3 linked regions of the Alligator mississippiensis genome follow. The protein of the gene in region 1 purifies or fractionates together with the protein of each later gene. This does not show direct contact. Links are inferred from orthologs where the notes say so. Each region holds a gene or a part of one and is shown in the gene's direction. Other genes may lie near its edges. The genes, in order: IFT57, IFT88 and IFT20.

Evidence for each region.
Region 2: the proteins of IFT57 (region 1) and IFT88 purify together in Homo sapiens (affinity purification with mass spectrometry; 3 studies listed by BioGRID and IntAct, counting the BioPlex papers as one, with this or other methods). This does not show direct contact. The link is inferred for Alligator mississippiensis from reciprocal best matches to the Homo sapiens genes IFT57 and IFT88.
Region 3: the proteins of IFT57 (region 1) and IFT20 purify together in Homo sapiens (affinity purification with mass spectrometry; 3 studies listed by BioGRID and IntAct, counting the BioPlex papers as one, with this or other methods). This does not show direct contact. The link is inferred for Alligator mississippiensis from reciprocal best matches to the Homo sapiens genes IFT57 and IFT20.

What each region holds. Positions count from the first base shown.
Region 1 is NC_081824.1:258,561,229-258,566,190, forward strand, and holds the start of IFT57 (intraflagellar transport protein 57 homolog), read left to right. Parts: upstream 1-1,559; 5' UTR 1,560-1,574; coding exon 1,575-1,756; intron 1,757-4,962. UniProt on the Homo sapiens protein: Required for the formation of cilia. Plays an indirect role in sonic hedgehog signaling, cilia being required for all activity of the hedgehog pathway.
Region 2 is NC_081824.1:433,865,294-433,870,255, reverse strand, and holds the start of IFT88 (intraflagellar transport protein 88 homolog), read left to right. Parts: upstream 1-2,001; 5' UTR 2,002-2,125; intron 2,126-2,609; 5' UTR 2,610-2,769; intron 2,770-4,962. UniProt on the Homo sapiens protein: Positively regulates primary cilium biogenesis. Also involved in autophagy since it is required for trafficking of ATG16L and the expansion of the autophagic compartment.
Region 3 is NC_081837.1:7,380,542-7,385,503, reverse strand, and holds the start of IFT20 (intraflagellar transport protein 20 homolog), read left to right. Parts: upstream 1-1,743; 5' UTR 1,744-2,075; coding exon 2,076-2,202; intron 2,203-4,182; coding exon 4,183-4,268; intron 4,269-4,602; coding exon of another isoform or gene 4,603-4,665; exon of another isoform or gene 4,666-4,962. UniProt on the Homo sapiens protein: Part of intraflagellar transport (IFT) particles involved in ciliary process assembly. May play a role in the trafficking of ciliary membrane proteins from the Golgi complex to the cilium.

The sequences.
Region 1 (4,962 bases):
TGAATGGGTGCGCGCGCGTGTGAATGGATGTGTGAATGAACACACGTGTTTTTTTTTGTGTGCGCCTGCGTGAGTGGTTTGTGTATGCGAAGAGGCGCACATGTGTGTGATGGGTGTGTTTCGAATGGGGGCACGCGTGTGTGAATGGGGTGAACAGGTGTGAATGGGGTTGTGTGTGTGTGAATGCAGGGGCATGATGGCACGTTTGTGTGTGCGTCTGTGGGGTGCATGTGTGAATGGGTGTGTGTGTTTGTGTGTGAGAATGGGCCTGCGTGTGCATGTTTGTGGGAATGGTTTGTGTGTCCGTGGAGGTGCATGTGTGAATGGGAGTGCCTATGTATGTGTGTGTGAGTGGGAGTACATCTCATGTGAATGGTGCATGTGCCTGAGTGTGTGTGAATGTTTTATGGGTGTGAATGGGAGTGTGCGTGTGTGAATGGGGAGATGTGAATAGATGTATGGATGTGCATGTTTGTGTGTGTATGTATGGCTGTTGGTGTGTGTCTGAATGGGTCTGCGTGTATGTAAATGGGGAGTGTGTGTGGATGGGTGTACATGCATATGTATATGGGTGCATGTTTGTGTGTGCATGTATGGAATGGGCATGCATGTGCATGTGTGTGAATGGGTGCAGGTGTGTGTGAGTGGGTGTGCATGCACATTTGTTGGTATCCATGTAAATGGTTCTGTGTGTACATGGGTGTGCGTGTGTGAATGGGTGTGCATGTTTTTGTGTGTGCGTGCTTTGTGTGACTGGATGCCCATACGTGAGAGAACTGCGTGTGACTGGTGACGTGTGTGAATGAGAGGTGTGAATAGGCGTGTGTGTATTTGTGTGAAGGTGTGCGTGTTTGTGTATGAACGTAAGAGAATGAGGCTGTCAGTGAGGGTGCGAGTGTGTGAAAGGTGCGTGTGAACGGGCGTGTATACAGGCGTTTGAGTGGGGCTATGTGAATAGGGGAATGTGTGTATAAATGGTGTATATGTGAGAATGGGTGTGCGTGTTTGCGTGTGTGTGGGAATGGGTGTGGACGTCTGCGTGTGGGAACAAGGGTATGTGTAAATGGGGGTGCGTGCGTGGAGGGGTGAATAGGGGTGCACCTATGAGGGGGTGTGAATGGGGGTGCGTGTGTTTGGGGGTGACAGTGGGTGCACCTGTGTGGGGAGTATGAATGGGGGTGCACGTGTGTGGGGGTGATTATGGGTGCGTATCCGCGTGAACGGGCACGGGCGTGTGAGCGGATGCACATGCTTGAACGTGCGCGCGCCCCGGGGTGGCGGTGACGTCGCGACACGTCACGACAGAACCCGACATTCTGGCGCTTCGGCGCCCTGCCTGCTCGCCAATTCAGCTGGGGGCGCGCGTGAAGGAGAACAGCCCCCGCTCACTAGCTGGGCCCCCGAGCTGCGAGGTGACTGGTGCAAGGGTATGGTGTACGGAGAGCTTGATTGGTTGGGGCCAGGGCGGAACGAGCCGTGCAGAGAGGCGATTGGCAGAGCTCGTTGCCGCGGTGACGGCGCGGCTGCCGGGTCGGGGCAGCGCTTTGGAGGCCCTGGGCAGGGGGAGGCTAGAGATGGCGGAGGAGGGCGGCGGCGGCGAGCGGCGCGGCGGGGAGGGGGCGGAGGCAGCAGCGGAGCGGGGCCCGGGCGCGGCCTATCAGATGTTCGTGACGATGGAAGACCTGCTGGAGAAGCTGAAGCTGCTCGACTACGAGGAGGAGGCGCTGCGGCGCCACAACATGCGGCCCCTCTCCAGGTGACCCTTAACCCGGAAGCCGCTGGCGGCGCGGGGCAGAGGGGGCGCTAACTAGGGGCTACCTCCCTCCTCGCCTGTGACGTCGCCTTGGCAGTCTACCTGCAGGGGGCGTGGTTTGAGGCTGGGGTAGGGTGTGGCTTACAGTCAGAGGCTCTGGTACAGCCCTGCGCCCTGCCCCTGAGGGAGTGGTCCTAGATCCTTCCAGGGGTGCCCCAGGGTCCAAAGTAGCTGACCTGCAGCCACACCTGCACCCTGGCCCTGGTCTGGGCAGCGTTTTATTGGGCAGCAGGCACTTGCTCCTTGGACTTGCTCACAGTCCAGTGGGCACTGGCAGGTGCTAGGGTTGCCAGTCCTCCAGGACTGCCCTGGAGCCTCCAGAAATTAGATATAAATCTCCAGGAGACTGCTGAGTGTCACGTGGGAGGTCAATGACAGGGCATTCATTAAAATAAATATTTATTAAATGTTGAATCTGATTTATATAGTTGTCCAGTGGGTTTTTAAAATGTAATAGGAACGTTGTATTTGACTTCCTGACATGAAGCCATTCATGTCATTACATTGTGTTATGAAACCTGGAATAGATTCAGAGTTGGTAACCTTTGCTGGAACGACCCCCTCAGCCCGCTCGTCTGGCACGGCAGCTTTCGCTCCCGTCCCCATTCTGCGTTGTAGTCGTCCCATGGGTTCAGCTGGCGCATGCCCAGTAACCCCCTCTGTTAGCAGTGGGGGATAACCCTTGTCCCATCGGCATAAGGCTCACATTCCTCAGATAGGCCTGAACCTCCCTGGCCTCTGCCCCTCGGCTCTGGCTCTTGGCCCAATGGCCTCAGCCTATGCTGCTTCAGGCTCTTGTCCCTCACAGAAGTAAAGATCGCAGCATGCTGGGCACTCTGCTTTGTGGCCTTCAAACACACCCTCACAATCACTCCTGGTCCTCTGGTCGTTATTATCAGACTCCTAACAGAAACACAAAAGCCCACTGGGTAACAGTCCTTAACAAAAATGTTACCTGGCACAGGCACACTCCTGGTATAGCGGCTCCCCTGCCTCTTCTAGTGGCTTCTCCTCTCCTTGTGATTCTGGGTTCCCCATATTGAGCAGCAGAGTTCCTTGATCCTCAACAGTCAGGGCCAGAGTGCCCCACTCTGCCTGGGAGGTAAGCCCGTATGCTGGCCAGCTTATCCCTGCTGCTCAGCTTGGGCACAGAGGTTTCTCTTTATCTCCTAGGGCAGGGATGGGCAATTATTTCGGGCCAAGGGCAGCTTACTGAGTTTTGGCAAGCCATTGAGGGCCGCATGACAGGCAGCCAGGGGCAGATAAATATTAATTTTCTAAATTTTTTAGGGTCCCCACAGGCCGGATAGAATGGCCTGGCGAGCTGCATCCGGCCCACGGGCTGCATTTTGCCCACCCCTGTCCTAGGGCCTCTGTGAGAGGTGAGTCTGCAGTCCTGGGCCAGCTGCTTGTCATTCAGCAGTGTCCCTACCTGTTTGCAGCCTTCAGCTTACTCCTGGCCTGCAGAGCAATTTCTGTGAAGCCTATTGCTAGGCAGCTGGATCCCCAAGGGACTGGCAGTTCTGTTTTAGTGGCTGCCTTCCTAGGACGGCTTATTGTTGCAGGTACCAGGTGTCTTTCTCACCCTTGCAGACTCTAGACTGGACCCTTCTCCCCTGCTAGTCTCAGGGAGCTAAGCTCCTTGTTCCTCCTTGGAGTCAGGTTCCCATTTCTGAGTCCTTGCCTCTCCAGGCTACAAAAGTCCTATTCTTAAATGGCTTGCAGGTTTTCCTTGTCCTTCAGCCCTTTCCCAGTAGCAGAACTGGGCATTCCTGTTACAGTGGATATTTTGGTTTTAAGATTCAAACCCCTGACCTCATCAGTTAAGATGGAAGTGATTAGTGTACACAGAGACCTTCGGATGTTTTGCATAAAAATCAAGTTAAAATAGATAACGAGAGGAAGTTAGTGGTATTAGTCTGAAGTCAGGCAGAAGGCAGGGTGAAGATGCACTTTAATTGACTCGGAGATGCATACACTTTCATTAGTTTTTATGATGAATGAGTCATATAGCGTCTGATGAAGTGAGCTCTTGTTCATGAAAGCTTATGCTTCTCTGATTCAGTCAAACTATACAGTGGATGTTGTGATATTCAAGGAAAAAGAGAGTGGGATGGGGGGGTAGGGAGAGAAAGGAATAGATTGAACAAGCCTTCCAGATCTTTTCTTTTTATTCCCCAAAGGATTAAAAAATCAGTGCAGTCTGTTTTGGCAAATATTTCACAGATCACTTCTAAAAACCAAATCCTGGCTCTTGGTGTCACTTACTATCATGCTTCTTGCAAAAGTCTGAGGTTTGTCACATTGCAACTTTCCCCTAGAGTATAAAATATGTTTATTTTTATCATCATCATAATTGATATTGATGATAATGATGATAATAATAATAGGCATGGGGACAAACTGGTTGGGATGTCTCACTACAGCTCCTGAGGCCTGAATTTAGGCCATTCCAGACTTGTACCAAAAGGCAAGCCTCAGTCATCCCAGACATAAAGTAGTACTTTGTTATATGATCTGGGGAGTCAAAGGCAGCCAGACACAATGCCAGCCAATCAGCCCCTGGTGTGCTGTTGATTTGCAGAAGCTAGCAACACCATAAGCTTGGGAGGTATTTTTTTTTATCTCTAGGAAAAGGGATGAAAGCCAAAGAGTATGGGCAGATGTTCAGTTTGAGGTCCCAAAATTTCCAGGACCAGGAAAACAATCCAGCTCCCTGACTGGAGAGCTGGAGTCACAAGCTCTCTAGTCAGGAGGTGATAGAGGGCTGCTCCTTGGTTTCCCACACTCCAAGGGGATCCCACCCATTGACAGCCTGCCCTTTCCCTTGCTGGGAAGGTAGACAGGCTGTCAAAGGATCAGCTGTCAGCTGCTGAAAAGCCAAAGACTAGTGTTGGCTGGATCACATGACAGGTTCCCACTGCTGTGTCACACAAATATGGTAGTGATGAACATGGAGTAAAAATCCCCATTAAGACAGGCTTGGATAGTCCTGGTCAAATGCCTTTCTGCCAGCTTAAATTCTACCCCAGGATCTTTTAAATAGGCACATTATTGCAGAGTTTTACTTTTGCATGAGTGGAGCTGAATGTTTATAAACTCCTTAGGTTACCATTGGCCCATCAGTTACATTTTGGCCACCCTTGAAA
Region 2 (4,962 bases), about 180 Mb from region 1:
TTGTTATAATTTAGATTGCATTTATCTGGAGCCTAGACTGTCCTTTTACTGCATCTTTGTACAGTGCCCAGTACACAATGGGCTTTTATCCCTGACAAGCGCCCTTAGGCACAGCTGCACTTCATACAATTTCAACGACTGTAACAGGCCTGAAGGATAGAGTAGGAGCAGCAGATGCAATATGCCCTGGCTTTAGTAAAGGCTTTTGACACCATCTCCCAAAACATCCTCATATGGAAGCAAAAGAAATACTGTCCAGATGATACTCCAAGTTTAGTGCATAACTGAATAGATCATTGTGCTCTAAGAGTAGTCTTCAATGACTCAATGTCAATGTCAGACTTCCAGCAGACAACCAAGCAGGGCACTCCACAGGTCTGTCCTGGGTCTGGTATAGTTTTATGTGTTCATTAATGACTTGGAGGATTTGCAGATGACACCAAGCTCGATACGGTAGCAGGCCCTTTACACAACACGATTAAGATTCAAAATAAACTTAATATCATTTCACAATTTATTAAGCAAATATGCTGAAATTCAATAAGGGCCTGGTACTGGAGGTTTACAGTGGTCTACAAGCTGACAAGAAGTCAACAATATAATATTGTTGCGGGGGGGCTAGAAGCTTACTGAGATGAATTAGAACATCAGAGTATCATACACGTCATGGAAAGTGATTTTTCTGCTTTATTCAGTAGTAGTCTACCAAGAGGACAAGGTCCAGTTCTGGCCACCTTGTTAAGGAAGATATGGAAAACTGCTCTCTTCTGATTCCTCTCCAACAACAACAATTAGAAGTCTGGAAACAAGACATACAAGAAAAGGTTGAAAGAACTGGGATTATTTAGTCCAGGGAAGAGAAATATGAGGGGAAATTTGGCAACAATTTTCAATTACAAAAACAGCTGTTATAAAGATGATGACAGTGATCATTCATTCTCTATGTACACAAGGGACAGGACAAGAAATAATGAGCTTCAGTTGCAACAAGGAAGAGTTCAAATATTAAGAACTTTCTACTTCTGGGAGTGGTTAAATCCTGGACAAGATTACCAGAGAAACTATGGAATCTCCATCACTGGAAGATTAAGTGAAGGTATGATAAACATTTGTCTGAGACAGTTTAAACATAAATGAACCTGTCCTGAGAAAGGGACTAGACTAAATTACTTCCTGAGGTCCTTTCCAGCCTTATGTTTGCATGTTTTTTTTATCTAAGATTATTCCATTTAGGGTAAAGGCCATCCCATGTCTTATGATTTATTCTGTAAAGTATCTAATATATTTTGTTTTCCCCTATAAAAATAAATCAAATTGCCTGTTATTTCCCTAATTTCTAGATCTAAGGAGGTTCACAATTGTATAAAAAATAAGTCACTATAAAATTGAACTATATATTAGACAAGAGATGTGAAGGACTGAAAAATCTACATGAAATATTCTAATCTACAAAATCAATTTAAGTCAAAATATCCCAAATACATAAGTTAAGACCACAATTAATCTCACTCTGGCTCTTCTGATTGGAGGTCAATTACAAATTGGCCAGATTCAGAGCAGCCCTAGGGCTACTCCAAGTAGTTCCAGGTATCGGATCCAAAATTAGGGATTCACAGGATTGGCTTGAATTCATTTATCTTGTGCCACTGGCCACAAATTCAGTGCAGAAATAGAGTAACGGAAAATATGTTCCATAGTGCACTTGGATTAGACGCATCTTAGATACTGAACTTAGGAAAGTATAAAACAAAACCCTTCCCCCTCAAAGTGAAAATTTTGTGAAAGCAGTCTCATCTAGTTTTGGTTTACTTAGAAGTCACATAAGACGAAGGGTATTTAAGTTTACTTGCACATCTCTTTTGGTAAGCAAAGATTTGCATCAATTCTAATAATATTTAAAAAGTAAATGGAGGAAAGAGTTTACTTAGTAACCAGCAGTTACCGAGTAACCCAGAGTCATTACTGGCCATGATGAATGATAGAATTTTAAACAAAAACAGAGTTCAAAGGAGCCATTTTGGCAGATGCGTACTATGCATTGAAGAAATCATGCTGAATATCAAGCAGCAAGATCTTAAAATTGGAGAAAATATGCTCCCAAAACTGAAAGACTCCTGGTAAACAAGTAAGTATCATACTCTCCTAGCATTGCAAAGGAGCTTGTACATTTAATGCTACATGCTAGTTAAGTCTGTATTATAACTTGGGTAGATTTAAGGCTAGAGAGATTATTTCTTCACATTTTATGGATGTTAGAAACTGCATGTTTCTATTCTCCTCACCTAATGCACATAGGTTAACAAACTTTTAGCCAAATACATAGCGTGTCTAACTTTAGTCAGACCTGTCTCTTACTGTAAGAGCTAATTAATACATTTTATCATCTTGCCTGTCTTCCTTTTGATTGAAAAAAAGAATTGAAAAAATTAATAAGCTAATAACTGTAAAAAATAAGAGAAACTCCAAATCTTTACACTTATTAACCAAAATAAGTGTCACAACATTTTCATAATCTTAAATAATTTTGGATCTTTCACTGATATTTATTTATTGTAATAAAATGCTCAAAGCAGGCTGTAATTATATATGCTCATTTTTTAAATCCTCAGGACAGAGAAGATAATTCTACAGTGATCAATTTCTTCAAGAATGGAAGAAACCTTGCCAACACACTATTTGCTTGTGACAGAAAACAGAGACTACAGAGTGCCAAGCACCCCTTTTTCCATGTTTCAATGCACAGCTGTTAGCATCTGACCCAACCTGATAGTAAGTAACCACACTTGCTCTATGACCATATTTTGTTTTTATATATGGTTTTTTATTGGGTTACGGACATTTATCATGATATATAAAATATAATTACCATGCATTATTTTGGCAGTAAACAGCTGTCAAAAGTTGACCATTTCAGGATGCTAAACTTTTTTTCTTAAAATTAATGTTTGTTGCATCTCTTCCACCTGTATAGCCAGATGCCTTGGTTATTACAGCCCAGATTCAAGATGAAAAGGGAAGCAAGTTTATATCTCCTACTCAATTGCAAGAAGGTATAATTTTGAAGAATTCACATATAGTCTCTTTAAATTAGTGATTCTCAACCAGGGAACACAAGTAAGCATGCATGCACGAGCATTTTATGTTAATACTTTGAACCAAGCTAATCAAACCTAATTTGTATTCAAAAGAATTTCAGCCAGGAATGTTAAAAACACATGGGAAAACTAAAGATGGAACAATGAAAAGGCAGATCTGCTCTTGAAATTTGCAGTAGGTTTTCTGTGTCTATATTAAGACCAATAACTGTGGTGCCACTAGAGCATACCACTGCACCGTTACTCCCCAATTAAAGAAATATTTTTCTCTTTGCTGCATGGCTACACAGGAGAGTCAGACTTTGAAAAAGAACTCTGAATTCTAGCCAGACATTCTGTAATGCACTGTTCCACTCCTGAGGTTCATGGATTCCCACTGGATGGCCATGTATTTTGGGTTTTAAATGAAAATATTCTTCTTATTCCATCCCACCATCCATTTTTGATGAATGTATAATAATTCATATACTTGAATACTAGGCAATCTAAACTAGGGGTCAGCAACATTTTTGGGCAGTGCCAAAAATACCTGCAACCTCAACTTGTAAGACATTAGCATGCCAGGTGGATGGCAGGGGAGCCACAAGGGGCCAGATCCTTGTTGTGGTAGTGTAGCCCTGGCCCCAAGGCACATGTACCAAGCAAAATGCGTTCACATGCCATGCTCTGGCACCCATGCCAGGGGTTGCCTACTCCTGCTCTAGACAAATATGACATCACCCTTACGACACCTCAAACTAAGAGCTGTTTGTCTCCACATAAGCAACATATACTGCTTACTGGAAGTGATTCCCTGCAGTGTCTCCTCTGTGATGCAGTTGGACCACCTGGTTGCAATTCTGTCAGCTCCTCGGTCTTTGGAAAGTAGTCTTTCCTCCGTGTCTGCAGTGGTCATGAAATCAGAGGGTTTGGGATTATTACTGCCATGGGTGCTTTCAGTGTTCTTTGGTGATCTCCATCAAACGCAGAGGTTTAATTTTAGGTTCCCTCGCAAATATACAGTCCAGCTCAAAGTAGCTGTAGATGCTGCAAGTTCTCCAAAAGTCATGGTCATCCCTTACACTTTTTTCAACCAGGTTAAGTTCTTTTCTTTTATTTGGCACTGGCTTCAATATGTGTTGCGCTTCCCTCATTCATTTGTTCAGACAGACACTTATATATCTGAATTCTAGCCATTCCAGTGCACAGATAGGCCTGCACATATTCCTTTCCCAAAAAACAACGAAGTCTAGAACCTCAGTACGAGGGATAGCTGTTCAACAGACAGGAGTGTGACAGTCATATGGACAACCTCAGTACTGGGGTCACAGGAGGACAGTAACTGGTTGTGTGCCAGTGTTTAAACAGGTGAGTCAGGATGATCCTGGAACAGCAAGGGCACTCAAACATGCAATCCAGGCATCCTGAAAAACTGTGTAGGATACTGGTGGGAGGATTTAGGAGATACTCAAGAGCTACTTTGGGATAAGTACGTCTCCACCCCTACTTTGCTGCAGATGAGCCCATCCTGCACTTCAGCAGACTTGCTTCCCAAGTGCGTTTAAACGCACATGTTCAAATACCACATGATTCACTACAACACTTGTGTTTGGGGAAAGAAAATTCTTTAATGCAAAATGACTCAAGTTTAATCTGAGACAATGTCAAGTGTAGACAGGCCTTATATTTCAACAAGAGACAGAGATTGATCTACAGATTGTTCTGACTGAGCCACCGGTAAGATAACAGAATGAGACATAATGTTGTGATGTCACCTCATATGCAACTACTGAAAATAACTGGAGGAAGGATGAGAACCAGATAACATCAGATGACCTAAATAAAAAAATGTCCACAAAAATACTGAATAAAAAACTGAAAAACACAG
Region 3 (4,962 bases), on another chromosome or scaffold:
TTAGTTGGAACCAACCTTTCTGACAGGCAGGACACAAATTACCACTGCACCCTCCCCGGCTGCCACTCCAATCCTCTTCTCTTGCCTGGTTTGCTGCTCTGCCTCCTTCCCTCCGCTCCCTGCCCCATTTGCTGCGTTGCTTTCTGCTTCCTGCCCCCTCCCTGATCACTCACATACCCCACACACAGGCTGCTTGGACCACTTGTGGCATGTGCGCCGTAGGTTGGCCACCCCTGGATTACATCAACAGGGAAGCTACATTTCCCAATGAAAATATGGGACTCATATATTTTATCCCTGCAAGCTAGTCACAGGGACTGCAAGCTAGAAGGACGAAAGAGTAGGTTCAAAAGCTTGTCAAGAGGACACACAACCTTTCAGCATGAGGTTACAATTCAAACCTTACCCAAATAGGTAATGGCTGAAGATTGTCACCATCTCGGGTAATTCATCAAAATGATTTTTAGCCAGACCTCCATTTCCCCCTTCCTCCCACAGGATAAACTTTTCACATCACAAAAACCTATTGAACTATTTCTGTTAGTTTACTGATAGGATTAAAGCAGCACATGTAGCCCAGGCGCAATTATATCAGTATAAAGGTAGCTTACACACCAATAATAAATGTATAAATAAATGGATTTAAAGGTATTTTACACACCAATTTATAGATCGGTATGTTGGGTTACCTTTCTAACGAAGATATTCTTATCAAAGTAACTTATATACTAAGGAGAGAGAAAAAAAAAATCTGCTTTTTAACATAAAAAAGTCGTTATTCAATTAAGATGACGCTGACTTCCCGCAAGGTTTAACTAATTCACAAGGTGAGTTTGGTCCTAAATTTTCTTTCAGACCAGAGACAACAAAAGGCAACTGCGGTTTCAAGCAATGGCTGCTCCCATCTCCGTAGGGCCAGCGTCTGCCTTTCCGGCCCTTGGCGACTAAACCGATGGGACCCGCGCGCTGCCGGGGGCACCTCGCCCCTCGCCCGGACCTCGTCCCCCGCAACCGGGGAGCTTCCTGCGCTCCCCTCCACCAGGTTTCGGGTTGAGTCGATGGGTCTTGCGTTCCCCCCAATTTTTTCCCTCCGAGCCCCCCCCAAATTACCTGAGGATCATTTGAACCCATCCCCAGCACCTGGGGTGTGACCCCGCAGCACCTACACCCCTGCAGCGACAGACGGAGGCACAAACACAGGGAGGCCCCCAGCCGGGCCTGTGGGTGGGGGGCACACCCCTCCCGCCTCACTTCTGCCGGTCAACCCCCCCGAGCTCGTACCGGTGCAGGCCGCTCCGCCGCCGGCTCCACCGCCCCGGCCCGGTCAGCACGTCTCCTCCCGCCCAGGCCCGCCCCCGACTTCTCCTCGCCGCCACGGCGGCGGGGACTACAATTCCCAGCGTGCTCCGCGGGGTGGGGACGCTTCCCAACATGCTCCGCGGGCACGCGCCTCTGTTGTGGATGGGAGTTTCCCGCCGGTAACTGCAACTCCCGGCATGCTCCGCGGGCAAAGACAGCCATTCCCAGCATGCATCTCTCTTATGGACGGGAGCTCCCAGTAGGCCTCGGTAGCCTGGAACTGCAACTCCCGACATGCTCCGCGGGCAAAAAGTCACTCCCAGCATGCACCTCACTTGCGGACGGGCGCTCCCAGCAAGCCCCTGCATGCAAAGACAGCCATTCCCAGCATGCCCCTCACTTGTGGATGGGCCCCGGCAGTCGGGAACTACAACTCCCGGCAGGCCGGCGGCAGGCAGGGAGGCCCCACGACGTGGAGGCCGCGCGGAGGTCAGCAAGGAGCCGAGCCTGGCAGCCACGCGTCATTATAAATAATTAAGAAGAATACTAAAATAGAATGAGAAACAATGGAATGAGCTAAACAAACGCAGCGCCCCGCTACTCTCAGCCTATCCCCTCCCTCCCTCCCCCCGCGGGATGGTACATTCCGCGCGGGGGGCGGGGCTGTCGCCGTGGCAGCCGAAGGCCGCGGGCAGGGGAGTCGCAGGGCGCGGGGGGCGCTGCTGCGCCCATTCCACCGGCGGGTAAACTGAGGCCGCTGGGCGCAGGCGGCGGCCATGGCCCGGGAGCTGCTGGGTGGCGCGGGGCTGCACTTCGACGAGCTCAACAAGCTGCGGGTGCTGGAGCCGGGCGTGGCGCAGCAGACGGCGGAGCTGCGGGAGGAGTGCAAGGCCTTCGTGGACAGTGAGTGCCCCCCTCCCTCCCCCCCGGATCGGGCCCCCACGTGTGCTGAGTCAGCAGGGCCGGGCTGACCCATGTTCCCCAGGGCAGGGGGTCACTCCGAGCCTGGCCCCTCGGGGGGAGGGAGTAGATGCGGTACGCGCGTGGCTGGAAAACATCTGTAACTCGAATTCGTGTCGCACACACGTGTCGCACAAGCACGGACGAGTTGCGTGTGCGGGTTTCCCTCGACGCGCTACACGCGTCGCTGGAAAGCGGTGCGTAACTCAAATTCGTGCCGCGTACACGTGCCTTACAAGCAAAGACGAGTTGCACGTATAGGTTTCCCTCGCTCGACGCGGTAGGCAAGTTCCTGGAAAACGTCTGTAACTCGAATTCGTGTCGCACACACGTGTCGCACAAGCACGGACGAGTTGCGTATGCGGGTTTCCCTCGATGCGCTACACGCGTCGCTGGAAAGCGGTGCGTAACTCAAATTCGTGCCGCGTACACGTGTCTTACAAGCAAAGACGAGTTGCACGGATAGGTTTCCCTCGCTCGATGCGGTAGGCAAGTTCCTGGAAAACGTCTGTAACTCGAATTCGTGTCGCACAAGCACGGACGAGTTGCGTGTGCGGGTTTCCCTCAACGCGGTACACGCGTCGCTGGAAAGCGGTGCGTAACTCAAATTCGTGCCGTGTACACGTGCCTTACAAGCAAAGACGAATTGCACGGATAGGTTTCCCTCGCTCGATGCGGTAGGCAAGTTCCTGGAAAACGTCTGTAACTCGAATTCGTGCCTCGCAAGCACCGAGTTTAGGTTTCCCTCGCTTGACGCTGGAAAGCGGTGCGTGACTCGAATTCGCATCGAGGGGCGGGAACCCACTTTACGATGTAACAAGCATGGATACGTTCCAGGGCCTCGGCTGCAGTGACGTGGCGTCGTGGCGCTCCCGGGGCAGTGGCTGCGGGCGGCTTCGTGGCTCACAGCTCCCGGAGGAGCCGCCGGCCACCTCGGCCCCCCCCAAATAATGTCTGCTTCCTCTGCCTGTGTTGTCGCTCCCACAGTGCACTGCACAAAGCAGGGGACTGCGGGCTTCCGCTGCACCGATCACATAAGAGTGAATTTACCTTGCATATAATGACCATTTCCCATTTTTGGTATAAAAAGGGTCGTTGCCTAAGAGCGAATTTGCACATACGCAACCCGCATAAAGCGAGGGAAACTCGGAAAAGAAACCTGATCCAGGCCTGAGCTTCTCATTGCCAAGCTCCCGTCCAGCATAGATAGAAGAGGTCGATGTCGACTTCCCCTCTCCCCCCCAGCAATATTTGACCTATTATTTATGGAGATGTTTTCTGAAGTGAATTCATTAGTGTAGGGAATGGCTTGGCTGCAGATAGCATTGCTTTCTGTTTGCTACCACAGCCGTGCGAATGGCATGGATACACCTGTGTAAGGCGACTTCTCGTTGCAAATCCTGACTGCTCAATTGCTTTCGGTTAAAGATTAAATCAAGGCAAAGTTCCCGTGAAGTATTATTTATTGTGACATTTCCAGCTCGCAGCACATACAGCAAATGCATTTGGTCTCACGCAAGGAAAAGGGATGGTTTTTTGTAGGTGGAAGCCCAGCTTTGTCTTTTGAAAGGATTATTTTCCCGCAGGGCTTTATTGTGATATTGTATGTTAGGACACTTCACTTGCTAAAGAAGCCAACAAAGGGCTTTATTTAAATCCAGAGATAAAACAAGTCAGAACACAGAAGCACACATCATAGTAGAAGAAATAGCACCCAATTTGAGTAACAAGAAAAACCACAGAACAATCTGTGCGTGCATTGTTCCTGATGCAATCTGTGTGCGCGTTGTTTCTGTCAAGCACAAAGTAATCCCAGTTTAAAAAACAAAGCACTCAAAGTCTATCAGAATACAACACTGGTATCACTTTGATGGATGCATTTGGTATAACAGCAATTTCTCTCTTTTTTTTTCCCCTCCCCAGAAATTGCAGAGTTTCAAAAAATAGTGGGTAGCTTAATTGAACTTGTTGATCAACTAGCAAAAGCAGCTGAAAGCGAGAAGATGAAGGTACTGTGCAAATATTATCTAATGCTATCCTCTGCCTCTGCAAGTAAAGACCGCCCCCCCCCCCCCCCCCTTATTTCACATTCAAAGCAATCTGTAGCAATCCATCTGAAATAGACAGTCGCAGATGGTGGTGCGTGCGGGATCTCTGCAGTGACAGCCAGGTCTCCCCTTATCAAGGTGTATAAAGAACCATTGACAGATTCTGACAAGCACGCTCATTATAGTGTCACATCACTCTTGTATTTGCATTATCCCAGCCCTACTGGTTGTTGGCACATGTGCAGGTAAACATGCTTTCTAATCAGTTTCTTTCTTCCGCTAATTTGTTCCAAAGGACCCGAATTTTGTACGTGCGGCATCATTCAGAAAGTGTCACCAGGGAGAGCATCGTCATTGAAGGGAGTTGGCAGAAGGAAGAGGTTGATTAGAGAAAAAAGCATTTACATACACACTAATGATAGCTTCTTTTGTGAACTCCATTGTTGATGCATACGTAGACAGACACATCACCCATCTGTACACTTTATAGGTTAATTTAGAAATAGTATAATAAACAAGCAAATGTATTGTCATCTTGATTTGGTGGGGGGGGGGCAAATCGGAATTAGCGGTCACCTCTCTGCTTACCTGTCCTTCCCTTGTACCAGTGATCAATGATCCTGTAATATTTCTAGACAAGGCTTTGCCACTGCCC